Linked DNA regions of Coturnix japonica. The protein of the gene in region 1 interacts with the protein of each later gene in a pairwise test. Links are inferred from orthologs where the notes say so. Each region holds a gene or a part of one and is shown in the gene's direction. Other genes may lie near its edges.

Region 1 (13,292 bases):
ATAGGTATAGAAGGCATTTAGTGTTACCATCTTTGGTAGATTATTATATTAATAAAAGGAGTTAATGCTTATCTTCATCAAAGTTAAGACTATCCCATACCATATTAGATTATAAAACTAAATGTAAAATCGTATGGCATACGGTTAATTAAGCTTTCAGAGAAAATTACTTTTGATGTACTGAACTGTCTGGTTTTCTTTTTAGTAGTTTTACAAGCTATGATGCTTCTACTATTTCCCTTTTCAGTAGGAATTTGAAGCAGAAACCTTTAAAGTCTCAGGCAAAAGTTGAATCTGAACAGGAAGATTCTTTCAGTCAACCTACCTCAAGCAGAGCAGCCTGTGTTGCAAGCCATAAGACAAATGCTAGCAATTACAACCGTAGTTCGTCTGGAGAATCCTCTGATTCTGCATGCCTGACATCCTTTGAAAGGAATGGAAAAGCAAGATCTACAACACTAACAAACCGTTCAACACTGTCATCAGGTAATCAATGGAATCTGTTTCAAATGAGGGTTTTCATCTTTGTCTTATCTATGCGTTGCCTACTAATGTTTCCCTTACAATTACCCTAATTGCCAGTGTATTCTAAATTAAAAATGCAAACATTAACAATGCAAAAACTTTGGATTTTTTATGCAGTTTGCATTTCAGGGAATACAAGTGTCTGTGTGCTTTGACTTACTAATCTATTATTAAAAAGTTCTGTGTACTAAAGAATATTGTGCTGTAAAATCTCACAGAATGCAGTTGATTAATTTCATTAATGAAAAAAGTATTCCTAAGAAGAAATTTATTGCTACCGTAGATTACTTCACAGTCAAATAGACAGTACTTTTCCATAGCTTTGTATGGAGATTGACAGCAAAGCTGAATGAGTAGGACTGTTGATAAGTTGACCCACACACCTTTATGACTTGATGCTCCTTAACCAAATACAGTGATAGAATTTTTTCACTTTGAGCAGCTGTTCTCGGAAAGTGGTTGTGGTGAATGGGTGACTCTTGAGAGGAAAGCGTGGTGTATTTTTTAAGGTGCTTTCCTCTTAGAGGTGTTTTCAGATAACATACTTGCTATTTTATTTGAAACTTAAATACGTCTCAGAGTGACTTAACACCATACACTTCACAAATGTGGAATGGTATACTTTATGGAATTATCAGTTTCATATGTGCAAGAGATTAAGACATGATAAAAAGTGTATTCTTAGATAAAATTGTGAGAAAATAAGATTTCCAGCATAAGTGAAGTGCACTTCCTAAATGAAAACTAACTGTTTAACTGTTTTAGAACTGTATTCTAATTGAGGATTTAATTTTTTTTTTCAGCAGAAAGTGAAGTAGAAGGTTCTTTAGTTTCATCTACATCCTCTTCATCCTCTTCAGAAGAGAGCTCAGAAGAGAGCAAAGAAAGCTCTGTGGCTCTCGTGTCACCTCCACTGCACAATGGTGTATGTAGAAGAAAGAGCACCAATTGTAGGGTAACCAGAAATCAAGCTGCTCAAAGGAAACAAATAGGTAAGACTGGAGTAGTTGTCTTCTGAATGGCCCATGAGCCAGATGTATGCATGTGTATGTATACACACACACGCACACATGTACATAGAAAAATAATTGTAATTAGTATTTTTTGAACTGTTGTATGTTGTAGTACTATTTGTTTGATTACTAGTAGACCTGTTGCTCTCAAAATGCTGCTTTCTGTACATCTCACTTTTTGTTTTTCAGTCCTTAGGGTAAGGAGGGCTGAAACCAAGAGCCTACTGAGAGAGCATCTCTTGAAGAGTTTTGTTTGTTAAAGCTCTAAAATATAAAGCAGTTTTCAAAAAACTGTAATGAATCTAAAATTCACGATATAATTGTTGGATGCAGCTGTGGGCAAACTGGGCTTAGTAGTTGGTGACCCTGCCCAAGGCACGGGGGTTGAAACTAGATGGTCTTTGAGGTCCTATTCAACCCAGGGCATTGTATGGTTCTGTGATATAGCTCAGTATTTTTTCTTGCCAGACAACAAAACCACCTACCTATTACTAGGGGAATGTGCTTTGTTTGTCATGTCTGTGAGTTGAACCTGTTCCAGATTTGATAAGGCTGAAAATGTGACTACTCCTGAACATAAGACTTTAATCCTTCTCCTTCACAGGTACATTTCCCCAGGAGAATGGGAATGCAAGAAAAGCTGTCAGGAAAAGGTTATATGAAAGCAATTCTGAAAATACTTCTGTGGTGACATCTGAGTCTCTGAGTAATAGTACAGGGAGACATAGAAAGATCCCACGCAGAAGTGCTACTGTGGCTGCTACTAAGTTAAGACTAATGAGTGATGTGGAAGAAGAGGTTTCAAGCTCAGAAAGTATTGGTATTGGATGCAAAAATAGAAAACTGCCTCATCGAAATGCCTCAGCTGCAGCCAGGCGAATGTTACTGGAGGGGTCTGAGGATGATGCAGGTTTGAAGTCTGAAAGTGAAAAAGAAACGGAAGAGCAGCTTACCAAGAGGAAAGTTCTTTCTCTACCTACTTCGTCTGCTGTACGAAGAAAATTTGTAAGTGAATCTGAAAATGAGAGTTCAGATTCTGAGACAGATACACAGATGAAACAGAAAACCTGGCAAAGCAATGGCCATAGGCAGTTACGAGGGACAGCTCCTTCTGTGTCTCCCGAAACAAGGAGTCCCACACAAGGCTCTTCAGAGGACTCCAAAAGCCATAATTCAGAGGATGGGAGCAATCAGAAAGCTGAGCAATCAGTGTCTGCAAATAAGTTTGTTGTGAGCAACTCAGAGGATGAAGCGTGTTCCGAATCGGATACGTGGAATGCCAGAAAATTGTTTGGTCTGCACCTTGTTGCTCCCATAAAAAAAGCAAAAGTCTTGAGTGATTTGGAGGACACAGCAGAATCTGAAACAGAAGACAGACAGGATGGGAGAAGTGTTGTTTCAGAGACCTTGGTGCCATGTAGAATTATAGCGAGCCCTATTTCTGGACCTGGTGCTGATTTCAATGACTCTTCTGATACAGAATCTGAAACAAATTCCAATAACAGTAATTATTTTGATGCTTCTTCAAAAACAAGAAAGTGGAAGAGAAAAGGAAAAACAAAAATCTTCCAAAAAGGTAAAATAATAATAATAATAATAATTTTGAGTTAATGCATCTAACCTCACGTACTGACTAGGCAGGGGAAATTTTAGTGTGGGTAATGACTGCAGGGATTTGGACTCTATGAAGTGTAATGGTGTTCCTTGTCCTAAAACAAGAACTAGAAATCAGCAGGTGAACTGTAAGAAATGGTGATGCTGACAGTGGGACTGGGAGGTCAGCAAAACAGCACTAAGGAAACGATTAGTTTTTATGGTGGTGGTTTTTCGGTATTTAGAATTAGTGATGAATGCTGAAAGTTCTTGAGCAATTCGGGGTTTACATTTGTCTATGAAAAAGTCACTAAGTCCCTACTGTTTTCATATTTAATCAGTGCATCCTTCTCTGTGTATGTATTAGAAGAATATGTATGAATGAATTATCTTGAGCTTCACACAAGAGATCTCAAAAGGAGAAATTTATTGTCTTTCATCAGTCTGCTCCTTGGTTTAAAACATTCAATCATGAAAATCTGTGAGTTGGTGGATGAAGTAGTAGCACAGGCCATATGAGGAGAGGCTGAAGGAGCTGGGATTGTTCAGCCTGGAGAAGAGGAGGCTCAGGGGAGACCTCATTGCTCCCTACAACTGCCTGAAGAGATGTTGTTGTGAGCTGGGGGTTGGCCTATTCTCTCATGTAACTGGTGACAGGACTAGAGGGAATGGCTTCAAGCTGCACCAGGGGAGGTTCAGGCTGGACATTAGGAAATACTGCTTCTCTGAAAGAGTGGTCAGGTGTTGGAATGGAGGCCCAGGGAGGTGGTGGAGTCACCAACCCTAGAGGTATTCAGGGAATGTTCGGATGTTGTGTTGAAGGACATGGTTTAGTGGGAGCTATTGGTGATGGGTGAATTAGCAAGCTTGTACTTGTAAAAGCTATTATTTGTGTACTGTTGGTATATATACATGCTTTTTTTTTGTTTGTTTTTAAGCCCTTTAGTATTTATTGAACATAAATTTACTTGGATATTTGGCTGTATGTAAGAGGCTGTGTATGTGACTCAAGGGATGGCTGGATATTCCTACCCAGTATTGTAGCCTGGACTCCCAGGTTTAGAATTTGATAGCATGTACTACAGGACTGCTTGTCACAACAGTAGACTGGGTGGATAAGGCCTTTATATCTTGGTGTCTGTCTTGTAAATGTTTTCTTGTAGATCCTAGTTTGTGACTAATGGAGTTCCTTATTTGATCCTCCCTGTCTGTACAATCTTTTTGTACCTAGGCAGCATTTAATGTGAATTAAATGTGTTTTGTTTTTCATCTAGTCTCTTAGAATACACATTCATGGCATTATTTCTTTATAAAGAGTTGAGGGAAAGTATTGTCCTGTCCTGACTTCATAGGTCATGTTCTGGGGAACCCAGGAGCCTGAATAACTTCTAACAGTGATGAATGTAGTAATCTGGCCAGGAGGAGCCAGGCACTGAACCTCACTGGAGTTTGTCTCAGACAGTCTCTTAATGGCTGTCATTCTCAAAAGATGCTAGGCCTTTAGTTTTAGTAGTTGAAATAGCATTAGCAAGACAAGCTTTCTTCATCCCTCTGTAAGAGAAGAGCATTCCCTTTAAACCTTCTTCTCTTTAAATGTTTACTTGAAAAATATTTAGTGGCCTATCTTTCCTTGAAGTAAGAAAGGAAGAGCTGCCGTAGCTTTCCATCCATCTGCAGATTGTACAGGTAGAGAATCATCAAGGCAGTGGGTTCAAGCTATGGTAAAATTGATTGTTATTTCTATTACCAAGAGGTAATAGTCTGATGTAATACTTAAGAATAAAGAATCTAAAATTTATAATAACTCATTTTGAAAGAGCAAGTAAAAACAGTAATAGAAGTTCGAGCTTTAGTGATGGAAGTAGGAGTACGAGAAAGGTTGTAGGTTAAGCTGGTAATCTGTAAGGCAGTTTTTATAGGGATGCTACAGAATGCTACTGTACAACCTTTTCTTCATATCAAAGCAAAAGACTAATCCTGAGAATTAAAAACATGCTCAGGACTGAGTGTCTGGCTGTTTCCTTAGTAAAGCCTTAGGGTAGATTGCTCATAATGGTTGAAATAAAAGCATGTCCTCGCATATTTCATTAAGTGCGGCAGTGTTTATGCTTAATAAATGAGCTATTTCAGGAATGCAAGTTATTAAAAGGAAATTCAAAATATTTTGTTTTGTAGAATCTACATCTGAGGAGCCTGGACAAAGTGGGAAAGTGCTCAGGAGCAGGACCTGTATCATTAACTACAGGAAACACATAAAGGTGTCTAATGTGACGGAAAAGAAAAATCCACGCAGATGCGCCACTGTGGCAGCTAATAAGATTAAGATAATGAGTGATACAAAGGAAGAGCTATCGAGCTCGGAGAGCGTTTGCACAGTGAAAAAGAACAGAAAGCAGCTTCATGGCAGCACGTCTGTGGCATCCAGGAAAAAACTGACCAGCAGCTCAGATATAGATGTTAGTGTGATGTCTGAAAATGAGAAAGAACAGGATTCTGATGAAAAAAATGATTTTTGTTCTGGATCGTCTGCTCCTAAGAGAAAGTACATTAGCGAGTCTGAAGATGAAAAAACAGAATCTGAGGCGGAGGTAGAAGTGACTAAAAAGGAGAGTGATGATAACGAGAGTCAGACAAAGAGAACTAAAAGCGACGCGGCTCTTAAAAATACATTTGACTCTTCAGAGGAGAATTCCACAAACCACAAGGTAGAAAATGGGAGAAATTGGAGAACTTCTGGTCAGTCAACTTCAGCCTGCAACCATCATACGAGCAACTCTGAAGAGGAGGTGGGTTCTGAGATAGCTAAACGTGGAACTAAATCTATCAGAAGAGCACGAAATAAAAAATCCAGAGCTCCTTCGAAAAGATTAAAATTATCAAACAACCTAAAAGAAACATCAGAATCTGCGGCAGGGAGGAAGGCAGAGGAAAAAAGCTCACTATCAGAGAACGTGGAAACACCTGGCACTGCAGGGAGCTCAAAAGCCAATCGCGATTGTTCTTCTGATTCAGACTCTGGAACTGATAACAGTATTTATAGTGACGCCACAGAAACAAAAAAGAGAAAAACAGACATTGTTAGAAAAGAAATGTCAAGTTTACCTAAGCCTTCCAGAAGACCCCAGCGAAGGAAACGTCGGAAACGTAACCAAGAAAATAATGACTCTGAAGATTTGGAGTACAGCAAATACAGGAGAGCTAACCGGCGTACTAAGATAAGAACTCGAAACAGGGGTAGGCGGACTGTTAGATATGACGATTGTGACGATGATGACGATGACAGAGGTGTAGGTGATGCAGCTTGTAAAACGTAACCTTAAAAGGAAAAGCCAGCCCACTTTTTTTTTCTTTTTTTTTTTTTTTTTAATGGTAATAGCACTAGAACTCATGTTGGATGCTGGCTCTTCCTTGTCCTACATTTCAGGGAATATATTTATATTTTTCTATGAAAAAGTTATGAATGTGATTAGATCATGACTTTCTCCTTTTCATATTTTGACTTGCACTTGCCTGCCCATGTAGCAGCATTTAGCACAGATGCCAAAATGTGCCTCATTATAGGGGCAATTTTTTTTGTCTTTACTGGTATTTTATTACATATAACGAGAGTTTAAAAAGAAAAAAAAAAAAAGAAAAGTTAAAACACTGCGTAACAGGTTAATAGCAGTATGTTGAGTATTATTGTTATGGGTGCTGCAATGGAATACTACCTAGGTCATTCAACATTCAAGAACAAATTTCAGACATCTCTTACGCTGTAAGAAATCATATATGATATTAACAGGCTTATAAATAATAGTGTACGCTATAAAAATTCGGTGGATGCTAGTATCGCATCAGACAAGTAATGAGCAGTCACTGAGTTAACGACATTACAGCTTCCGCTAGTACAGATGTTAAATGTTCTGTACATTCATTAATGAAAACATACAACTAGAACCAGTTACCAGTTGAGAAAAGCCTATTTGCCAATTCAAAGGCACATTGGTGCTGGTGAAGAGAGGATTTATACTGACAGGTAGTACTATCATTAATGTGACTTCTATACTGTAAACTTCAGAATATGAAATGCAGGTGAACACTTGGGCCTAAGGGTTTTTTGTGTGTTTTCTTTATAAAATAGAAAAACCGACAAAACACTTGTTCTGTTTGTTGTTGTTTTTTTTTTACGTGTGAGAAGTTGGAGGTGCAGGATTCGTACATTCCACACCATTTCTGCAAAATCTCTGTTGGTCTTCCACATTTAAACTTCTAAGTGCTTTAATGTTAGATTTTTGCATTGAATTAAAGGTAAAAGTTTGGATTGCTGCCGTTTATTGACCAATTCTTGAAATGTTTGAGGTGGCTGCTGTCAAAAAATAATTATTACATAGAAGATGAATTCTTGAGGAACAAATTCTTGGGGATAAAAGTCCAGCTTCATAATCACACTTAATATATTACTAGGTGCTTATACAGGTGGCAGTGAAGTAATGAAAGCTGTGGCAGCAGTTACTGAGAAGCACTTCTCCAGCACTTGTTATGCCCAAAGGTGCAACTGACCACGTTTTGGTGGTATCTAGAACATTATCTCAGTATAGACAAGTACTATTAGTTCATGAAATAGGAACACGGTTCACTAACAACGTGTTCTCTGTTGGAACAACAACTCCTATCGATTTGGCTTGGCTCTAGTGGGTGGGCAGGGAGGGCTGAGGCTCCTCCCGCCGTGCCCTCTGTGGTAAACTCCATGGTGCCGGTTATGCAGAGCGGCTCGGCGCGCATGCGCGGTGCCCGCCCACTGGGGAGAGGAAGGAGGGAGGCGGTGACGGTGAAATGATGGCGACGTTCTTCGGGGAGGTTGTGGTCGCTCCGTCCCGGGCCGGCGTGGACGATGAGGAGGAGACCGAGGAGACGGCAGAGGATCGGGAGATCCGCAGGGAGCTGCAGGAGAAAAGGTAGCGGCCTGGGGAGCGAGCGCTGAGCAGCGCCTTGTTTCCCGGTGGGTGCTTGTAAGGCCGGCCTCTCTCGACAGGGAGATCGCCGTGCTCTGGACGCCGGGAGCCGCGGGGAGCCCCGCCGAGGAACCCCTGCCCTGCTCCCGGTTCGTGGTCGCCGTAGGACACAACGCTGCCGGTAGGTGGAAAGCGTGGGGATGGAGCCTGGAACAGGCTGCCCAGGGAGGTTGTGGATGCCCCGTCCTTGGAGGTGTTCAAGACCAGGTTGGACGGGGCCCTGGGCAACCTGATTTAGTAAATGTGTATGTTTGGTGGCCCTGCCAGGCAGGGGGGCTGGAACTACATGATCCTTGAGGTCCCTTCCAACCCGGGTCATTCTGTGATTCTGTGAATGGCCAAAGCGCTGTCCTTGTGCCTGCAGCCTCTTGGGTTGGGCCGTGGTGCGGTAATAGGGTGGAGGGAGAGAGCTGATTTATAGTCGTTTGATTCAGCAGCGTTTTTGCCGCTATGTTTTGCATGCTCATGTGTCTGCTGCCTAAAGCCAAAGATTCAGTTCTACTTGCTGACTGCATTCCTGTTATTTTTTGCCTGAGAAATCTGTTGAATCTGATAGTTAAGAGCTATTAAAGACATAATATTCATTAGCACGTGCTCTTGGTATATTCTGAAGGAATCCAAGTTGATTGTGGCGATACAATTCTTAATGTGTGTTGTTAATAATAGAGATCTCTACCTATATATAGAATCATAGAATTACCCAGGTTGGAAAAGACCTTGAAGATCATCAAGTCCAACCGCAGCCTAACCAGTACCCTAACTCTAACAACCCTCCACTAAATCATATCCCTGAGCACCACATCCAAACGGCTCTTAAACACAACCAGGGATGGCGATTCAACCACCTCCCTGGGGAGCCTATTCCAGTACCTAACTACCCATTCTGTAAAGAAGTTCTTCCTAATATCCAACCTAAACTAGCCCCACTCTCACTGTAAGCACCTTTCAGGTACTGGAAGAGGGTGATAAGGTCTCCCCTCAGCCTCCTTTTCCACAGACTAAACAGCCCCAGCTTCCTTAGCCTCCCTTCAAGAACAGTTCTTTATGTCTTGAGTCAATGAGATTACTCACGATCTTTGCTGGATATGGTTGATAAACATGTGTCAGTAAAAATGTTTTTACTGTACCTTTTTAATTTGTGGATATTGAAAAAGAAATATCTCATTCCATCTGTTTATTTGTAGAACAGAGATTTTTATTCTTGGTAAATTAACATTAGGATTCTTTGCAGCTTTCCTGTCTTCTTTTATTCTGGATTCCGTACGTTGGAAAGTAGTTGGAGCTGTGAAACTGTGGAATGAATGGTGCCAAACAACCAATGCAACAAGTGTCCTCCCAACAGATTCTTTCTGCTTGTTCTATCAATTAATATCAGATCCAACAGTAAGTGACTTAGAATTTCTCTGTACTTTAGCATTGTGAAAAAGGGAGCAAGCTCCTTTCATCCCACCTTGCCCAGCACAAATGAAGGATAAAACATTACAGCTGCAGCATTTTGGATTAACCTCACAAGCAAATGTGAAGGGTCATTATGGTCACTAAAACCACTTGCAGTTCTAGTGTGAGGAGTTTAAAACAAAGATGGTATTACATGGTAGAATGTTTCATATGAGGCTATGAATGAAAAACTCGTGTTAAAATAGAGAATTCCAGGAATACCAAACAAGTTGTTGGTTGCTGTCATACCATCTTTGCATGTGGTATTTATTGTTGTGTCCTATAAACCACTTACTCAACCTTGTTTTTCTTTATCAGGTTTTGTTGTGCCAGTGTAGTTGCTATGTTGCTGAAGATCAGCAGTTCCAGTGGCTTGAAAAGGTATTACTGCAAGACAACATATTGAGCAATGAGATCTTAGGACTGGGAATCTTCAAGTTAGTGCATCTGCCTCTTCTCTCTACTCTTCTATACCTGACAGTACTGTAAATAATTTTGTTTTTTTACTATGGCTTTCTTAAGTACTCAACAAATTCAGAATTATCAATATCACAGAATCACAGAATTGTAGGGGTTGGAAGGGACCTCTAGAGATCATTGAGTCCAACCCCCCTGCCAAAGCAGGCTCCCTACACCACGTCACACAGGTAGGCGTCCAGGCAGGTCTTGAATATCTCCAGAGAAGGAGACTCCACCACCTCCCTGGGCAGCCTGTTCCAGTGCTCCGTCACCCTCATTGTAAAGAAGTTCTTGTGCATATTTGTGCGGAACTTCTATGTTGTAGTTTCATCCCATTACCCTAGTCCTGTCCCCACACACTACTGAAAAAGAGACCAGCCTCACCACTATGGCTCCCACACCTCAGGTATTTATAAACCTGGATCAAGTCCCCTCTCAGCTTCTTTTTTTTCAAGGCTAAAGAGATCCAGTTTCATAAGTCTTCTCTCATAGGGGAGATGCTCCAGGCCCTTCACCATCTTAGTGGCCCTCCACTGGACTCTTTCCAAGGATCTGTCTTTTTTGTACTGGGAGCCCAGAACTGGACACAATATTCCAGATGAGGCCTCACCAGGGCAGAGTAGAGGGGAAGATCACCTCCTTCGACTGCTTGGACACGCTCTTTTTAATGCACCCCAGTATGCCATTGGCTTTTTTGGCTACAAGGGCAACACTGCTGGCTCATGGTCAATCTGACTATGTATATGTTTACCATAACTCGCAGTGCAGTTACTTGTTTTGGAGAGCTTCAGTTTTGTCCCTTTCCCATTTTACAAACTTTTTCCTATTCATCTTTTCAATGACGTGTTTGAACTGGAATTTCAGCTTTGGGAGAATCCTGTAATAAAGTTATAACATAACTTAATTATTACAGCTGTCAGATAAACATTGTGAAATTCAGGGTAGGTGATATCTTCACTGGGTGTGTGTGAAGAACAGATGGGTGTGATCTGACTCTTTCACAAGGTGGAATTCTGAAAGAACCTGCTTCCAAAGTAGCATCTGCCCCATTTGTTAATATACTCAGATTGTTATATGGGCAGACCTATCATGATTCAAGGATGCAGGTACTGCTAGTCATTCAGATCCTTACCCCTGTGCTTTCCCCCTGAATAATATCCTTTTGATTTTAACTAAATAAATCCGAGGGGAATTTTCAGGCTGTTGATTTTGGATGTGGATCCCGGTCCCATCCTTGCCTCAGAAGAAGCATGGCTTATTTGGTTGTTGTGTATTAATCTTGCAGGCAGCTCAGCACCACACTGAGCCCCCCTGCTCTCGGTGGGATGGAGGAGAGAACTGGGGGCAAAAAGGAGAACTTAGAGGTAGAGATAAGAACAAAAGACAAAACTGTTTACTAAAAAAATGAGAAGAGAAAGTAATGATGGTGATTATATATAGTGTGTGTGTGTTTACACACACAAAACAAGTGGAGCACAAAACAGTTGCTTGCTACTGCTGACTGATGCCCAGCCAGTCCCCAAGCGGCTTTGTCTTACCTGCCAGCTGGCCAGGCCAGCATGTAAGGAGGATTACCTGGGTGCAGGGGAGGATTGTACAAGAGAGCCACAACAATTGTGCAAAGGTGAAGGAGATGAGAAGCTGGGGTAAGTTTGTTGAGTCATACGGGGATTTCAGACCCAAGTTTGTGGAAAACTGGTTTTCTTGTCATTCCATGGCTGGGTGATAAATTTACTTGACCTTGTGAGGCCCCCTCTGGAGTACTGTGTCCAGGTGTAGAGCCCTCAGTACAAGAAAGACATAGAGATTTTGGAAAGGGTCCAGAGGAGGGCCACGAAGATGATCAGGGGGCTGGAGCACCTCCCCTATGAGGACAGGCTGAAGGAGTTGGGCTTGTTCAGCCTAGAGAAGAGAAGGTTGCGGGGCGACCTCATTGCAGCCTTTCAATACCTGAAGGGAACTTACTCCCAGGAGGGGAATTAAACTCTTTGAAAGGGCTGACAATAGCAGGACACGGGGAAATGGTTTTAAGTTGAAAGAGGGAAGATTTAGGTTGGATGTTAGGGGGAAGTTCTTCACTAGGAGAGTGGTTAGGCCCTGGAACAGGCTGCCCAGGGAGGTTGTGGATGCCCCGTCCTTGGAGGTGTTCAAGGCCAGGTTGGATGGGGCCCTGGGCAACCTGATCTAGTAAATGTGTATGTTTGGTGGCCCTGCCAGGCAGGGGGGTTGGAACTACATGATCCTTGAGGTCCCTTCCAACCCGGGTCATTCTGTGATTCTGTTAGTAGTTGACTTGAAATTTTAGAAACCTTGGAACCTTAAACATGGTGGTTTTGCTGTATTCTGCGCTTCTTTGCACTTCATTTAAATTGGGAAAAGAAAGAAAGATTATTGTGGTTTTCACTGTCTCCTCCATTTTTGTTTTTCCAGCTGCTTGTGTATGTATTATTTCAAATGTGGGTGGTTTTGAACAGTAGAAGTGTACAGTTTTAACAAAGTCAGTGTTACTGAGTATTTAGAGTTTACAGCTAAAGTGCTACTCTTTTAGCTTGAGTTACAGGTCTGTTCTGTATAATTTGTAAATTGTCGTTAACTGGAAGTACTGAAGGTCTCCATGGACCAGATATTTTTATTTATGCCATTAGTTCATCCCTACCCTGCTGTGGGATGAGGGAGAAAATTGAAAAGCACAGGGATCTGTGGGTAAGAGATAAGGGTAATTTAATACGAAAGGGACTGGGGGGGTGAGAAAGAAAAGAGAAAAACAAGTAAACAGTAGCAACAAAGCCAGACAAAACAAGTGATGCACAGTGCAATGTAATTGCCACCTCCAGCCAATAGTGGAGCAGTGGCAGCCCCCCTAGCCAGCTCTTCTGGTTTTGTTGTTCAGTGTGACACCACATGTTATGGGACATCCATGTCATCCAGGGTCAGCTGTCCTGGTTTTGCTCCCTCCCAGCTGCCTGTGCACCCTCATCTTCTTGCTGGCCAGACAGTGTGAGGAGGTGAAATGTCCTTGGCTCTGTGCAGGCACTGCTCAGCAACAACTTGCAACTTAAGTGTGCTGTCCATTTTATTCTCAATTTAAATCCAAACCATATCTGCTACTAGAAGAAAATTATCCCAAACAAAACCAGGGCAGTAAACATCCCGCTAATTGAAAAGTAAGCACTTCTGAAGAAGACTTGGTAAATATGTTAACTCTTTGCTCTCTTCATTTCTTTTTTTTTTATCTTCTGTCATGAAGGGAGCCCACATGAAACTTCCATTC
Region 2 (17,573 bases), on another chromosome or scaffold:
ACACAACCTATCGTGCGATAAGGATACAACGGCTTGGGCTGTTCAACTATTGGAGGGTCATCGGGGTTGATAGGTCTGTGGATGTACCTGATGAAAGACATCCAATTTTTTATTAACACACTTGGTATCTTAAGGCAGGCTACAAAGTACTTCAGTAGGACAGAAGTAAATCATTTCTCCTTTTAAAAACATAACCTAAATTTTTTACCATTGCAATTACATTTTGCAACAACACATTAGTACAGCTTCCACATTATAAAATACAAAATCACAAGGTTGGAAAGGACCTATAAGATCATCTAGTCCAACCGTCCTCCCTTTACCATACCTAGAGAAAAACCCTCTGCGGGTTGGAAGGGACCTTAGAGATCATCGAGTCCAACCCCTGGGATTCGAGCCTCCTGTGTAGCAGAGCGGCACTTCTACCACTTGTGCCACAGGGGGGATTCGAACCCAGGCCTACCGGTGTTGCAAAGCAGTGTTCCACACAACCATCAGTTGCCCCAAGAGGCAAAAAAGTTACTATCCTGCTTAAAACCACTGAAAAGCACATTATGAAATACTTCACCTCACGCTCAAGCAGTTATCCTAAAAACAAAAGTATACAGAGCAAAGATGCACAGACAAAAGTCTCCTGGATATTTGATTAAATGACAAGACAGGGAAATGAATATGACAAAGAAACAAGACAAAACCAACAAGCACACACACACAAACACACACACACACACACACACACACACACACACAAACCCACCAGAAGAACTACACAAATCTCAATAGGTACTGCTTAGTTTTCTTATTTGCTTTTTACTCACCTATGTCCCGTTAAGCTCTCCCAAAAAGTAATTGTTCCATCGGTTCCACAGGTCATTACCCAAGCGTGAGGGATTCCTTTTGCTTTTGTTCCTACACACACAAAGGCTTCCAATCCATAGCCAAGAAGAAGACTGCACAGAAGGTTGGCATGATCTTCACAGTCACCCTAGACAGTAAATGTTTGTATGTTGGTTTGACTATCAGGCATAGCTAAAAACATTAGAAAAAGAAAGCAGTATTTCTCCAGTTGTTATCTAACAAGTCGCGTTTCCCTCCTATTTACCTAAAACATGCACCAGAAGTCAGGACTTCAAGGTTACAAACTTAAGAATCTTGAATTCCTCTTTTTAATATGCACCATATCAAAGTATATCAGGCTTTTACAACTTCCAATGGAGTTATTGTTCTTCACAGAGGCTCATATGGTGCTGCATTTTGGATTTTTTATGAGAACAGTGCTGACAGCACACCATTGCAGGTGCTGCAGAGCAGCGTTTACACAGACACAAGGATATTTCAGTTCTTCATGCTGCCTTGCCCATAAAGGGCTGTGGTACACAAGGAACTGAGAGGACAGAAACAGGATAACAGCTGATCCAGACCACCCAAAGGATGTCCCATGTCACATGTCATAGCGCTCAGCAACATAAGCTGGGTTGAAGGAGGAAAAGGGGATGTTTGTGATGATGGCTTTTATTTTTCCCCCCTTAAGGAACCATTACACATGATGTCCAATGGATTCATTGAAAAAAGGATTCAAGCAACAGCACTGAATAAAGTAAGTCAGCTCCAAAGCCCTCTTGTCTAATACTTAACATCTGCCACTATTTGATCTTATAAAAGCTATTTGCATTTATGAGTTCTCTGAAATGGATTCAGTCCACCTTTTGCAACCTGTTTTAAATGACTAACTTCATTCCAACTATAAAAGTTGTCATGCAAAGACTGTTTTTACATACCTTGTTTCTACATACGAATGCAAGAAGTGTGCACCACTGCTCTTGTTTGCCACCACCTCCTCCGATGACAGGAGCTCTTTCATAACCCAGGACACTGACAAATCGTGCTGCTTGTCTAGGTGTGTCTAGCAACCGGCCCGCTCGAAGTGGTCTGATATATGAACATACCGGACGGTTTACTCCATTTTCATCCTGAACGTGGTAAAGAAATAATAGTACTATTAAAACTTCCTAAAGCAATCCATTATCTACTGTTAGTTTCCAGTGAAGCTTCCATTCCGGCTGCACCAGGTGTGTTCAGCAGTGAGATGAATGCACCACACCCTTACGTGGAAGCTGACACTACTCCCGTACACAGCTGGTGAAGCCAGAAGAGAAGACCTCACTTCCCTGAAGACAAACAGCAGGTGTGGATTGCTTCCGGAAGTTATTTCATCATCTGTGCCAGGAAAATTGCTGCTCTACAAGTTAAATTCATATATTAGCATGATAAACACAAAGCATCACAGAATGGCCCAGGTTGGAAGGGACCTCAAGGATCAAGAATCTCCAAATCTCCTGCCACAGGCAGGGCCACCAACCTTGCCATTTAATAGTAGACCAGGTTGCCCAGGGCCCCATCCAACCTGGCCTTGGACACCTCCAGGGATGGGGCATCAGCAGCCTCTCTGGGCAGCCTGTTCCAGCACCTCACAACTCTCAAAGAACTTCCCCCTGACATCCAGCCTAAATCTTCCCTCCCTCAACTTGAAACCATTTCCCCTTGGCTGTCTGTTATCTACCCTTTCAAAGGCTTGACTCTCCTCCTGTTTGTAGGCTCCCTTTAAGTACTGAAAGGCTGCAATGAGGTCACCCTGCAGCCTTCTTTTCTCCAGGCTGAACAAGCCCAGCTCCCTCAGCCTGTCCTTATAGTCCCATACCATTCCTACTACTGAGGGGCAGTCACCAAGGAACAACTGATGTGATTGTGACGTAAGTTACAACACAGTAACTTACTAGCCAATGATTTGTTCACATCTGTAACTACCATGCAACATTCACCAGCCAGATTACTTTATTAACCACAGAGTGCTCAAATATTATATGGATCTGCTCCAGTATATCCAGTAACTCCACTACTTATTACTGTATAAAACCTGTCTGCAATAGTTTGTATAGATCACTTAAGCATTTGCCATTTGTACTTATTCAAGGAAAAGACTAAAATGGCTTTTCTACCTCCTACACCAGGGGTGCTTGGAGCAGCCTTTCTCTATGAAACATACTCTTCAGCTTCAGTATACATAGTTCAAGTCTTGAAAACTTCATTGTCAGCATACTGTATCACATGTAGCCCTGAATGGAATCTAACCACATCATAAATCTATACAAATTCTACATACACAAACTTCAAACATGCAGCTAAGACTAAAAAAAACACCTTGAAGAACAGATTGGTGTATTTGTAAAATATACAAACCTGTGCAAAAATCTTTACCAGCCTTGAGTTGTGTGTAGGCCTGATCTGCAGGTATTCTCTCCACCACTGTTTAGCATACACAAGAAATAAACGTTCTTTTTCTGCTGTCTTCTGACGTTCCAAAGTAAACTACAGGTAGGAAAATACACACAACCATTCACACATATAATAATTCCAAACAAGAACAAAAAGTAATCAATATACATACTAGCACATGATCCTTGCATATGAAAAATGAAGTTTAATATGACAGCATGCAACCAATGCTAAAGAATAGTATTTTAAAGTGAAAATCCAATGAATGTAAAACTCAATTTACATTTCTTGTTTGTAGGCTGATATATCAAGCTTGACTGAAGTAGTGTTCATCTTCAGTGACGCATATCTGTATAGAAGGACTACTCACCTTGCTAAGTGTGGAATAATATCTGTAACACCTTTGGGCCACCATTTACTGGCTTTTCAAGTAGAGTAACCGACCCTTTATCTACATAAATAACTGTACAGTGTGCATCCCCCCTGCTGATAAAAGAACAGGCCATCCCTCACCCCCTACATATTACTTACCTGAGTGCTTGTTATTTCTGGAGACAGAGTCTTAGTAAGTGGTGGATACATTTCAAGTCTGATGTTCAAAACACCGACAGAAACCTTTGATTCTGTACCTTTGAACCAAAATACATTCCTATCAGTCCTTTCAAATTCATTTGACACAGAACAAATAATAGTTTTAATCATACCATCATAAAAATAAAACCCCATAAACTTCTCTAAGTACATACAACACAAAGATCTTCACTGAAATATTCTACTCAAGAATGAAAGGAATGATAACCTGGCTAAAGAAGCTGGTAACTGGATCTGAGCCCTAAGGGCCTCTTTCCAGGTGATACCAGAACATACAAGATGAATGCTGTTCTGTAAGGGCTAGAATAGGCACCTACAAATAGACTGGAAGAGCCACAGTGTACAAGTGCCCATTGTTACTGAATGTACAACTCACTGCTCAGATCACTGTGGTTAGAGCAGGATCATAACTGCTACACAGGACAAGCTAGATTTTACACTTGAGAACACTGACACGGTATTTTTCCTGGAGACGCATTTGTTGATTTATGTTTGTTTTGATAGTTTACCCACATCCTGGAGATAACAGAGGCTCCCAGGTACAGGGACCACTATTGCACAGGATCTGGAACACACATTCTTAACACTTTGATAAGACAAAAATCTGACCATTAGTCCTTTATATAAACTCTTCTTAAGGATACCTTAAAGTAATTCATGAGTTGATACCTTAAAGTAATTCATGAGTTGATTAGCTGAACTGAAATCAAACCAAACCATAAATACTACTTTAAGCTTCTAATCAAACTTAGTACGCAATACTTTAACTCATCGTTAAATGCTCATTAGTTATTCTTACCTACACCCAGGAGTTCAACAGCAACATTTGTGATGCCATTCTCTGCAGCCAGGACAGATCGCCACTCCAAGAAATAGGACGCTACCAGCGTTGTCTCACCAAACGTGTCTGTTTTGATCAGAACCATATGCACTGGATCACATACAGATAACATAGTTGTTGCATCCACCATTTTACTTCCATCACCTGCCAGAAATAAAGCAACATTAAATAGCCAGAATATCACCCCAAGTCCTCCTTAAAATAATACTACTTTTTAGGTAAATAACTGCACTCTTGAAAACATGGAATGCTTCAGGTCTATTTATTATACACCACTATTGATTCCAGAATTCTTCTCATAACATTCATCTGCCACCACATTTCCTGGCTACCAACGGCAGAAAGGCAATAGAGGCGACAGATAACCGTGGAAGTCAGTCATCGAACAACTCATAGCAAACTGAGCTCAAAGTAAAGTTTTTCCTTCTGCATGGTGACAAATTGCTATCCACCTTCACGAGAATGCTCAAGGTTGGAAGGGACCTATGGAGGTCAGCTGGCCTAACCCCTGCTCAAGAAGGAACACCCAAAGCCCAGGACCATGGCAGTAACTTCAGAGTAGAAAAGACAAGGTAAGAATAGAGAAGGATCTAGAAGTGAAATCTAATAGTCATCAATTTCCCTACAAAAAATTTTAGTAATAAATAGGAAAGAAACACACTACATAATTTCAGACCTGTTTTGGAATAACTATAAAGTCAAAAAGAAATCCAGTGAAACAAAGCAAAATGATTTAGTGTAGGGTTTTTAGAGTTAGGGTTCTGGTTAGGCTGTGGTTGGACTTGATGATCTTCAAGGTCTTTTCCAACCTGGGTAATTCTATGAAAAGAAACAACATAGCATCAGCTTTAAAGTCATGATGTTCCTTACCTAGGCTTTCCTTGTGAACTTCAAGTAAAAAACCATCATGGAAATCTGGCTCACAAGCACAGGGAACGGGTTTAGAACGGAAACGCTGATTTCGGAAATGAAGACATAGTGTAAAAGTAGAACAGATTTGGCCAGGCAGAGGATCCGGTTCCTGAAGATGTTCCAGAAAAGCTTTTCCACCCAGAACCTGAAGGTAAAGATACCTTCGTGTTGGGTCAATGTTAGCTGTAAAGCGTAGCAACAAAAATGAAGAGACTACAAACAGATCTCAGGAAGCATGTTAAACATCAGCTAACCAACAGGAGAAGAGAAATAAAAAGAAATAATAAAGTTTTTGTATATAAGTCCCTAGGAGAAAGTGATTCTAAAATACATGGATGCTATTTTAACGTAAAATAAATGAAACATGAACGTCACATAAAACTTGAATCTGTATCAGTCAAACTTACATCCTTTAGATAAGCAAGACATATTTTTCTCCTCTTTGGAGGCTTTAAACGAATCCAGTTCATGTTGTATTATTAATTCCAAGATCAATAATCCTACATTTGACATTTCTATCAAAACTACAACCCAGAAATATGAGAACAAATGAGCAACATACTTTTTTTCATAACCGGTGGCTCTCTATCAACAAAATGTGTTGATGGTTTTGGAGATGAAGCCCTCTCCTTTCCACTCACATCCTGGAATCACAATAAAGAATTTTTAAGGTGTTAATTGAGGCAGCAGCAGCCTTCCCTCAACCTTCTATAATTTAAAGCATTCTCCTTCCCAATCAAATGTTATTCCTCTTGTACAACCTCTGCTAATAGGTGAGACTTAACAAAAACTGAGCAAACGCTGACACTGTGGTATTATCACTACACCAAATACAGCACACACTGTTTTGTCCTAAAACATCACAAGTCACTAAAGCCTTTTTGAACTACTAGAAATAGTACCTTCCTGTACATAAAGGGAGTCTACAGGAAAATAGGTGAAGGACTCTTCGTCAGCGAGCATAGAGTTATGACAAGGGGCAATGGCTTTAAACTGAAATATGATGGATTCAGATGAGATAGAAGGAAGAATTTATTTCAGAGGGCAGTGAGGCGCTGGCACAGCTGCCCAGAGAAGCTGGAGGCCCTGGAGGCACTCAAGGCCAGGTTGGATGGGGCCCTGGGCAGCTGAGCTGGTGGAGGGCAGCCCTGCTCATAGCAGGGGGTTAGTCCTCTCCAACCTAAGCTATTCTGTGATTCTATGCTTTTAGTGTGTTAGAACTTGGACAAGACACCACATCAGTTAAGAGGAATAAGCAAAGTATCTTCACACTTGAAGAGGTTCTCACAGTGACAAATTTAAGTTCTTTCATAACATCATCGATGATTCCTCGCTGTCTTAAGGCTTTTATCAGATCCTCCGTGGATAACTGCCGATGCTCAGGCGCCAGCTCCTCACGTATCGTCTCGGCCAGAACTTCTCGGATCCTTCCATGGACATCCATCTGAAAGAGAACTTCTTACAAGCTGCAGATAGAAGTTCCTGACAGCAGTTACAACTAAAGAAGCATCCTGTAGGACTGCCAGTACTTTCTGCACATAGAGCCCATGAGTTCTTGGATTAAATAAGAGCCAGCTGAAGAAGTCATACTGCCTCCCTAAAGCAGCTCTACCAATTAAAAACGTTATGAGCACAACGAGCCTGAACGCATTCACTGCTCTGCGCCTTAAACCTGCAAACCCAACAGCTTCCCGTCTGACTTCTGAGGGGGACAAAGAACTAAAAACTTCGGATGGCCGCTTCTTAGTTCTCTAAGGCACAAAAGCAGACAATGCCCATTTCCTCCCCCCCTCGGCACCACACGATCAAGGATGCAAAACACCGTGTGTCTCAGCTCACCTTTAGCAGCTGCTGCTGGATGAGCTGCTTCAGCTCCGACCCTTTACCCGGCGGCAGCGCCATGGCGGCGGGAGGAGCTCCGCCCCAACGGCCGCGGCGTGAGGGGGACGGGAAGCGGGCGGAGCTGCGCGTTGCCTTGTGGCATCCATGTCTCCGTCAGGCCTTGCCGGCATGTTCGTGCCTTGCGATGGCGGCAGCCCCGATTTCGAGGGTTTCACGCTGCTCATGGTGAGTGGTTGTCGGGGGGCGGAGGTCGGGGGGGCTGCAGCCTGAGCGCCTTCATGGATAGGGCACCCGCAGCTCTCTTCAGAGCGCCTCCCCGCCCTCTGAGTGAGGAGATTCCTCCTATTACCGGAATCTCTCCCATTTTAGCTTAAAACCATCCTCCGTGTCCCATCCCTGCGGCTCGTGGCTTACATACACCTTCAGGGGGTGAGGGAGAGAATCGGAAGGGAAGTAAAACATGTGGGCTGGGATAGTTTGACAGTAGGGCAGAAAAGGGGAAATAATAATGAGAGAAGAACGTAAATAAATGAAGCACGCTGCAATTGCTCACCACCCTCTAAGCGATGCCCAGGCAATAGCAGCCCCCAGCCAGCTCCCCCAGTTGTGTTGCTGAGCACTTCACCACATGGCATCCCTGCCAGGCAGGGGGTTGGAACTACATGATCCTTGAGGTCCCTTCCAACCCGGGTCATTCTGTGATTCTATGGCATGGGATGTCCCCTGGGCCAGGCTGGGTCTGCTGCCCTGATTCCTCCCCCTCCCAGCTCCTTGGCCCCCCAGCACTTCGCTGGCAGGGCAACACAAGGAGCCAAAGTGGCCTTAGTTTTGTAAGCGCTGCTTTGTAGCAGCCAAAAGAGCAGTGTGGTAACAGCGCTGGGCTCACCTGAAATGCAAAACACGCTGCTACACCAGCTGCTGGGAGATTAAATCTATCCCAGCCGAAACCAGGGCGCTGGAAGACGCCTCATTCTTACCTATTGCTCAAGCTGAGACTTGTAGTTGAGTGTGTAATATCAACGTTACCATTAGGTGTCACTTGAGGTCTGTCAATCTCTGCGTTCTAGAGCGACTTGCCAATTCTATGCTCCCCACTCCCTCCCCCCCCCCCCCCCCCCCCCCCCCCCCCCCCAAAAAAAAAAATATATATATATATATGTATATATATATATATATATATATGGGGGGAAAAAAAGTTTCAAAACCTTTGTTCAAGTTTACAGCGAGAGACAGGGTTATTCACAGAAGTGACCAGTGTGATTCTGGGTGACCAACCTAAGGGATGGTCATCTTTGTCTGAAAATGAGCTGTCAATTAAAGAAATCACATTTAGTCAGAAATGAAATGTCTTGTACCTTCACTGTTTGGAGAGCATTTTGTCTATAAAGCACATTGTAATCCATTGACTTCTGTTGCTTCAGCCAGCAGTGTCGGTAGGAAACGTTGGCCAGCTGGCAGTAGATCTGGTGATCTCCACACTTCGCATGCCTAAAGTGGGCTACTTCTACACCGACTGCCTGGTGCCGATGGTGGGGAATAATCCTTATGCAACAACAAAGGAGAACTCAATGGAGCTGAGCATAAACGCTGAAGGTGTGTACTAAATGCTTGTGGTGTTTGCAAGAAGCATACAGAGCAAAAAAGGTTGCATTTACTTTTTTTGTTGTTATATTTTGCTTATGGGGACTGTGCTTAAACTAAAGTCCTTAGTAACAGTTTCAGTAACTAAGTCTCTTAGAAATAAGAATGTGTTTGTACTTGCAGAGGAAACCGTTAGTAGGCCTTACTTTATTTTTGATAACCAGTCTGACATATGCAACCAGTAATGCTGGCTGGCTCACAATCGTGTTACAGTGCAGCCAAAACTCCCAACAATTTTAATCCTAAGCAACATGAAGTGTGCTCATAGTTTAGGTGCAGGAATGCAAGCTGCGTTCTGGTGTAGAAGGGGATTTCTCACTTCCCTCCTGTGTTTGTCTTTTCCCCCTTGTGCTGTTCCTCCCCCTTAAATTCACTGGGTTTTGCTCCACCTCAGTTATGGCGTTTCTTTCTTTTTTTAATTCCTCTTCTATTTTATGCTCTTAAATCATAGAAATTTCAAAATAATCTTTCATAAACTTCGTAAAGCTGCACAGAAGAATTTCCTGAATCATCATAAGGGGGCAGATCTTATGTTCTGCTTCATTCACTCCTTTGAATCTGTGTGAAATTAAGATTTTTTAAATTTTTTAATTAATTAAATTAAAGTGAAATTAAGTCCAGTGAAGACATTGCACAAAAATAAAGAGCTATTTTTAACAGCAATCAGGTTTTCCAGCAATTGGATTTGATAACTCTCAGGTTATCCTCAGGTTTGTAAAGCCCAGATTTCTTTCTTGTTAAAAAGCTTTATTATTTCTCCTTTTAGTGTATTCATTGCCTTCGAAGAAGCTTGTAGTTCTGCAGATCAGATCACCTTTTATAAAGGTACGTGCATCCGTTCTGAGCTCACTCGTCAGTAGTTGCAGTTCTGTGTGCAGATGGTTCAGGCACCCTGGGTCAGTTTTACAGAATGATTCAAACAAAGCAAAGAAGTACAATGAGAAGAACTGTGCCAGGTTAGGAAACGTTTTCTTAAACCAGACCAAAGTCTCGCAAGATATTTTTCTGCTCAGTGCTGTAACGCTTTCTGTGTCGGATACAGTTTTGTCTCAGAGCTGATTTCTGCTCTCGCTGAGGGCTGAGGTTTAGTTTTGTTCTTCCAAACCCCAAAACAACTCAGCTGTATTGTTAACATGTCCTTAGTTATTAATAGTCTCAAACAGAACACAGAATGTTCTGAGTTTTGTCCATCTCTCTTTTCTTCATACAGCTCTTGTCCTCGTGTTTGTATCTTGTATTGTGATGGCTTAATTTCTGCTATTGCTTTTTGGCAAAAATTGGAAGAATATGGTGTGATCTACACATTATCCCATCCCGTTCTAAAGCTGTTTCCACTAGTACTTACGGCACACAAAGCTGTTGTTATTTGTGTGCTTTTAATGAGTGTAATCATTATGTGTGTAGCTTTAATGAGGTAAATTGCCAGTCTTCCGCTTTTTGAAAGTAAATGTGAACCTGTGAGCTTAAGGGATGTGAAGAAAAACATATAAAAAGCTGAACGTTAAATACGACATCTCATATTGTTGGCTTTGGGTGTTTTTTTATCAACACAAAACATTTCTATTTCATTCTCTGTCCCTGCATGAAGGACAAATACAAGCCATTCTGTCAAACACTGCTTTCTTGGGTGGAAAGCAGCAAATGTGCCAGAGTCATTCTTCTGTCCAGCAGCCACGCATACCAGCGCGATGACGAACAGCTCCTTGGGTATGTTTGTGTCCTTAAAAGATCTGTTTAATATTTATGTTCATTTTGGCAGCCTGACTTCTTTTTTTTTTTTCCCCTCTTTTTGTAGTACTTTTTATTATTTTGCTTTGCTGTGTAGACAGGACATCTTGCTTTAATATCGTATCAAATGTTTCGTGTTACACAGCGCTAGTCTCTGAACTTACTCCTGCTGAAAGTCCAGAGCAAATAATACTCTGTAAGGACATCGTGCTTGGCCTGCACAGTCAGTCTCAGCTTTAACTTCTTTATTTCTTTCTGTTGCAAGCAATGTCAAGGACCAGCAGCTGCTTGAGATCTCTGATTAGATGTTTGAGATTTAGTAGAATATTAGCTAGTCTCCTAACCTTTCATTAATTGTTCTGCATGTTGAGGATTTTCAGTATAGCAAGATCTCCAGGCTGCATCCCTGTGTAGAGCCTTAAAGGAGGCTTATGTCTATGTGCATCCCAGATAGAGGCCCAGTGCTGTTTGCATGCAGTTTAAAGAACAGCCAGCTAAAATGGAATGAAGTGGGAAGGAGTGATATTCATTTTGCACATTCTGAGCCATAAGTTGTACCTATTTCACCTTGGTTTGTGAAGGGGGACACGAGTACCACAGCATAACTCTGACACCAGAGTCACTAAAGACTGAGAATAACACATGCAGAAAACAGCTTTTTGAAGTCTGCGGGTAGTTGTAGCGTGAGTCTATTAAAAATACTGTATAACAGTGGAGTCTGTACTTACTTTAATTGAATCTGTTCCCATATGAAGCAAGAAAAATCACCTTTTATGTGTAAACTATTTTAACAGCAAAAGATCTCCTACTTATGTGCTTATGCATCTGGTATTTGCCAGTTACAGAAGCATTTAAAAAGGATACCTTAGTTATATTTGTGGCAGAAAGTTGTGTATATTGTCCTGAAGTCACTGAATACTTGTACATTTTGGCTTGGGGAAGAAGGGAGTATTGCAGTTCTTCGTTGCAGATTTGAGGTCCTCAATGCTCGCAGCTTCTTTCTGTCACAAGTAATAACTTCAGTGCTGTCTTTTATTGTCAGACTGAACACATTCATGATTTGTTCCTAGGACACCGCTGCGCTACCTGCTCACACCAGCTCTTGAGAAAGCAGTGAAAGGCCAAATACAGGAGCTGAAATGGAAAGAAATGGAAAAAGTAGCAGCTTACCCTGGAATAAGCGATGCAGAAAAAGTTCTACATATTCCTGGAGGTGGCATCACAAAATTATTGTTTACTGAGAGGTGAGTGGCATTGAGATAAACGCATAAAGGATGTCAGGTGTCCTATCAGAGGTGTTCAAGGCCAGGTTGGATGGAGCCCTGAGCAGCCTGGTCTAGTAACACATCTGGAGGTTGGTGGCCCTGCATGCAGCAGTGGGTTGGAACGTGATGATCCTTGAGGTCCCTTCCAGCCCAAGCCATTCTATGATTCTGATGCATGAGTAAAATTATTATGGATTAGCTGTGGATTTTTACTGTTGTTAAAATGTGTGCACATTAGGAATTGTGTCAAAAGCACGTCAGGTGGCAAATTTTAGCTAGCAAATCTCAAGCACTGCACTAAACATATTAGTTCTGCAAAAGGGATTTGTTTTATAAGTGCCAGGTGGAAAATTAGCTTTTGGGGTTTGGGTTTTTTGTGTGTGGTTTTCTTTTTTCCTTAACTATTGCTTTTGTCACCCATCCAAAGTGCTATCTCCAGCAGCAGGAGTTCCTAATACCGTGCTTACCTTTGTGCTGACTTCAGCTGTGGAAACAGTGCAGAAATGCGAAAGCTGAGACCTCCCAGGACTGCAGAAATCAAAGGAAACTAAACCAAAAACACACAAAAACTTCATGTCTAAATGAATAAAACAGGACAGTGCTAAGGGAAACTGAAAAAATATTGAAGTTGTTGTAGCGCATACATCATAGGACTTTAAATTTAAACTCATTGATGCTGTTTTGTGGCCCTCTAGTTGGTATCACTCCTCCCCCCTACCCCCCAGAAAAAAAACAACCCACCAAAACCATTTCAGAAATAACAGTGTGGTAAAAGCCATTTACCAGCAGTAGCGTTCCTGGTCTAACAAAGGGAAGGGTAAACTTCAGTGTATGTTTTTGCAGAATATATGCTTAAGTCAGCTCCGATTGTGGGTTTTAATGGCTTTTTTCCTGAGTGTTGCAATAGCAAACAGGGCTTGGAAAGTTTGCTTCATTGGTAGGAGGCAGAAGTGGAAATTTTAACAGCCTGCAAAACTGCCCTTTGAAATACGTGGTAGGATAAGGAGTGATTGTAGCAAAGGCTTTGTATAAATGCCCTGCTGGGGCAAAAGTGCCAACGCTCTGGTTGCAGACTCCATGTAGAGGAGGCTGCGAGTAACCCTCTATGACACAGGATTCTTGCCTTGCAAAGGAAAGAATAAATTCAAGATTTAGAAAGCAAACATTAAGTGTGAAAATGTAACCGAGCAAGTCTGGAGGAAACAAGAAAGGAAAAAAAAAAGTATAGTGTGTGTATGTATGTGTATATATGTATATATATATATATATATATATGAATATATAAGGATTACGTTTGTATGTATAGTATCTGGAAATCTGTATTTTCCTTTCTAGTGTAATACTTCTTCTAAAGCAAACCATATACAGCTTGTTGTGTGCTAAATACATCAATCCATTTGTTCTTGATTAGTAAAGAAACAGAAAATCCTGCTTGTTTTTGTTGCAGTTGTTCCAGAGGAATCCACATGGCGGTTCTTCTCAAATTCTGCTCAGAAGGGGACAATATCCCTGACGCCTTTGGGCTGGTGAACTATCTGAATGAATGGCTTCAGCTAATTAAAATCAGAGTAAGTGCTGTTTGTTTTAGAGCTTTCATATTTTCTATCAGCTATTTTCATTTTCTGTATTGGCTGCCTTTGCTTTGGCTTGCGGTCACCAAGAGCAGACCAAATGGAAGATATGTTTTGATTCAAATTCTGCTGGGAAGTTTCCCACCCAAAGAACAAACCTTGGGCAGAGGTGGTGGAAACTGTGTAAAGATTTCATCTGCTTAGAACTTGCAATACTCTTCTCTAAAGCAGTCTACTATGACACTGACACTTAAAATGCTGCCCGTGATTTTTATACATATGCCAGAGAGAGGATTGCATTAAATCGCATTATTATTTAAAGCGTTAAGGAGTTACTCTGTCCTTGTTGCAGAGAAAGTCTTTCATGGCTGCTTCTCCAGAGTGGGAAATACCAGATCCTTCTGCACAATGGAAAATACCAAGTTCTTGGCGCCTGCTTTTTGGCAGCGGTCTCCCACCTGCGCTCTTCTGATCTGCTTGGATTTCTTCTGTAAGTCACTCCAGCATAGTCTCACTTATCCCTTGAACCGGTGATAACTCACTAATTGCCACAGTATCCTGATTTGTTATGTAAATACATTCTTAGGGAGAACCTCTTTTACCCCTGTTAACTATTGAAATAGCAATAACTTTCAGAAATCGAACAAAGAAATAGGTTTGACATGGTTGTTTCTTGAAGAATTCTTTTTTTCTTTTAAATAAAATATTTCCAAACCCCTTTTTCTTTGGTTAAAGTGTTACTGCAGTAGAAAAGCTCACAGTGTCCGGGTTCGAATCCCCCTGTGGCGCAAGTGGTAGAAGTGCCGCTCTGCTACACAGAGGCTCGAATCCTGGGGGTTGGACTTGATGATCTCTAAGGTCCCTTCCAACCCGCACGAGACTGTGAGACTGTGTCTTTCTTAGCGTAGCTGGGAACTTGATTGACGTGCAGCTTTTCGAATCTTTGTAGAAAGATAAAGGGCCGCTCTTCTAAGCCAACTGTGGATCGCTCTTCCCAAACCTTCCTGCTGATGTCAGTGTAGCTCAGCAGTGATCTCTCTGCTTTCTGTTCCCAGTGTTGCCACAGCTGCTTCAGCTGGAGAGGCTGCGAGTGGCAGAGCAACACGCACTGTGTTTTCTGATGTTTGTGGTAAGAGTTTCCACTCTTCTTCCAGGGACTGCAGAAACACCAGAACAAAAGCTTGCAAGGCAGACAAGCTTTCTCAGACTGATTTGAGAATGTATTCAGTGCCCTGACATATAAAGAAAGTAACATGCTGTCCTGAAAGCAAGCAGCCTGGTGCCTGTATGTTATAGGTGTAGTCTGAAATACCATTATTTTGTTGGTTGTGTTTCATGTTTGCAGTGGGACTTGTTGCATTACTAAGCTACATATTTGGGTTTGATCCTTTTATTTCTTCTGACTCGTGGTCTTGTCATTGTTTTGCTAGAAACGTGAATGGAAGTACAACCCGTTTGGGGCCTTTGCATAGAACTCATCACAGTGGTATTTCATACCTGCAAACACTGTTCATTCGACTCTTGTGTGGTTGGTTAGAAAAGGACCAATAGCACAAATGACCTGAAGGCTAGTCCTAATGAAGGGTGACAGGCAAGTGGTGCTCGGGTATCTACAGAAAGCTCAGCAAGCAGGGGATGCTGGTATCAAATAGTCGCAGCAGTCAGGATGCATCGTGCTGTATGCTGAGTGCTGTGTGGGATGCAGCATTTCAGCAGGAGCTGTCTCCATCATTTAACAGCCGTGACAGCTCATATCCCAAGCCTTACTTGTTCTGCTTTGAAGCAAGGAGAAACTGTGATTAAAAAGCCTCTGTGTGCCTGCTGAGCATGGCTCCAGCAGACGATTTAAGCCTCCGATTGGAAACCCATTTCATCTTTGTCTCAAGAAGCAGCCTGTCCTTTCTGCCTTCATGTTTCACAGCAGAACTTGAGAGCACTGCGCAGAGAAGTGAGGCACGTGCTGGGACTTGCTGAGCCTGTGTCTTCACACTGCTGCTGTCACAGTACAGCCCATCTGGTTGGGAACTCTCAGTTCCCTGTGCTCAGCGAGGCGGTCCCAAGACCCGCTGAGCTGAGAGGATGGCGTTTAAAGCCCTGAAGAGCAGTTTGAGAATCCAGTCACGGTGGGACAAGGGCTGAAGTACGCTCAGGGCACACCATGAAGTACAAGTTACTGCATATTGGACAGCGATCAGAGATAGTGGTGGGTGAGAGAAAGCAGCGTGAGCATGTGCTGCCCATCACTGTATGTATTATGCCAACTCAACAGTTAAGAGAGGGCAAAAAAAAAATGAAAATGTAAATCTCAAAAGGCACAAAGTGCTGAGCTGCATCCAGAGATGCAGACAATGCTGCAAGCAGGGTCCGCTGCTCCATTCTGCAGCAACAAGGTTTGCTACGGCATAGGGCAGACGTCTGTCCTTCACTAGAAGTAGGCACAGCCACACAACTCAAAATGAAGCTGAATGTAGCTGTGACAAACCCAACGCTCGTGACTGTTTCCAGATGGTGCTGAGCACTTACTTAGCTTTAGTAACTGCTTAAAGTACTCCCCTTGTTCAGCTACGTACTGAAGTTAAACACAACTTCATCATTAAGCCTCACACCCAAGTTAGGATTTCAGGTTGTGTACTGTAGCAGAAATACTGTCCCATATTCCCGTGCCTTCCAGTTTTCTTCTCCTTCTGCTTTCAGGGAGTTAAGGATTTACACAAAAATCCTATGAAGTACAAATCACAAGTAAAACACCCCCCGCACCACACAGTAGTTTAGACATTCACAAAATACAACTTTTCAGTGAATGAGGGTTTATCTGAAAGTACCAGAGCTCCCATGAGCACAGAATTGAGCTTAGCTCCCATAACAGAAGGCACAGGGCTGGTAATGCTGCTGAGTCCATTAAACCAACTTCAGGCTGTTCCACAGTTCACCCCTTCCCACTCCAGCTGCTCAGAGCACTGATAGATCATAGATGTGAAGCGAAACACTACACGTAACACACACTGATGGCACAATACAAAACCCTTTAATGAAAGGCTCCACCTGGGCACCTGGCCCTCAGCCCATCCATTGCAGGGAGGGGTGGGCAGTCAGACTCCCCCCTTCCCTGAAGGCAGAACAACAGAACACATTCCCAAAGTTACTCCGAACATTCTGTGTATATTTGGTAGCAAACATAAGGATTACCAAATCAACCGGGCAGATTAATAAAATAACGTTCTTAGTGGTGTATTACAAAAGAAATGTGCAGGAGTTCCTCCCAGCTGAGACTACAATACTTAGCATTCATTAAGTATTTGCATAAAGCCCATTCTAGCAAGAATATGTTGCAACGTTCCAGTTAAGACAGAAACACCGTGAGGTGAAACATTTCTTCTAGCTCCAAATAAGCTTTTAACAGTTGCTTCCTAACATCATTCGCACACAACAGCACGTTGTCCATTTAAAAAAATATTTAATGCTGCCAAAATCGTATAAAAATACAATAAGAGCGGCAGTACAAAACAAAATATTTCCTAATTTATTTCTCTTACATTAATACAGGCATTATAAAAACACAAGACGGCAAGTCGTTTTGTTTTGCAAAGTAGCATGCTGGTGGTGTTCTTCGTCCCCTGGATGCGGTTTACGCTGTAAACAGATAACTGAGGTCCTCCTGGTACTTAACAGACCTCACTTTTGTTCCCGAAGAGGGGTTCATGTCTCGCTTTGCATGTCAATAATTTGCAGTTTATAGCTGCAGAATATTCACAAGTCTTGGAGGCTTAGGTGTCAGTCAGTCTCGGCCTACGACATACAACGCAAAAGAGAGTCACCGATTCAGTACACAGTGCAAGGACAGAGAAATCAGAACAGACAACGGGTTGGCACCTCGCTACAGAACACAAACGGCTTCTCCTACATGCATTG

Evidence for each region.
Region 2: the proteins of PSMG1 (region 1) and PSMG2 interact in binary tests that used the Homo sapiens proteins (3 or more experiments, as listed by UniProt). The link is inferred for Coturnix japonica from reciprocal best matches to the Homo sapiens genes PSMG1 and PSMG2.

Annotation. Positions count from the first base shown.
Region 1 is NC_029516.1:97,183,075-97,196,366, reverse strand, and holds the start of PSMG1 (proteasome assembly chaperone 1), read left to right. Parts: upstream 1-7,884; 5' UTR 7,885-7,946; coding exon 7,947-8,068; intron 8,069-8,145; coding exon 8,146-8,246; intron 8,247-9,356; coding exon 9,357-9,508; intron 9,509-9,880; coding exon 9,881-9,943; intron 9,944-13,292. Other genes in the region: BRWD1 (bromodomain and WD repeat-containing protein 1), read left to right, coding at 248-486, 1,329-1,517, 2,143-3,114, 5,307-6,445. UniProt on the Homo sapiens protein: Chaperone protein which promotes assembly of the 20S proteasome as part of a heterodimer with PSMG2.
Region 2 is NC_029517.1:87,441,352-87,458,924, reverse strand, and holds the start of PSMG2 (proteasome assembly chaperone 2), read left to right. Parts: upstream 1-7,550; 5' UTR 7,551-7,603; coding exon 7,604-7,684; intron 7,685-8,880; coding exon 8,881-9,052; intron 9,053-9,866; coding exon 9,867-9,925; intron 9,926-10,688; coding exon 10,689-10,807; intron 10,808-11,898; coding exon 11,899-12,072; intron 12,073-13,540; coding exon 13,541-13,661; intron 13,662-14,016; coding exon 14,017-14,136; 3' UTR 14,137-14,154; exon of another isoform or gene 14,155-14,385; intron 14,386-14,818; 3' UTR 14,819-17,428; coding exon of another isoform or gene 17,429-17,450; 3' UTR 17,451-17,573. Other genes in the region: CEP76 (centrosomal protein of 76 kDa), read right to left, coding at 1-87, 819-985, 1,779-1,970, 3,238-3,366, 3,805-3,902, 4,664-4,849, 5,576-5,800, 6,180-6,261 and 2 more. UniProt on the Homo sapiens protein: Chaperone protein which promotes assembly of the 20S proteasome as part of a heterodimer with PSMG1.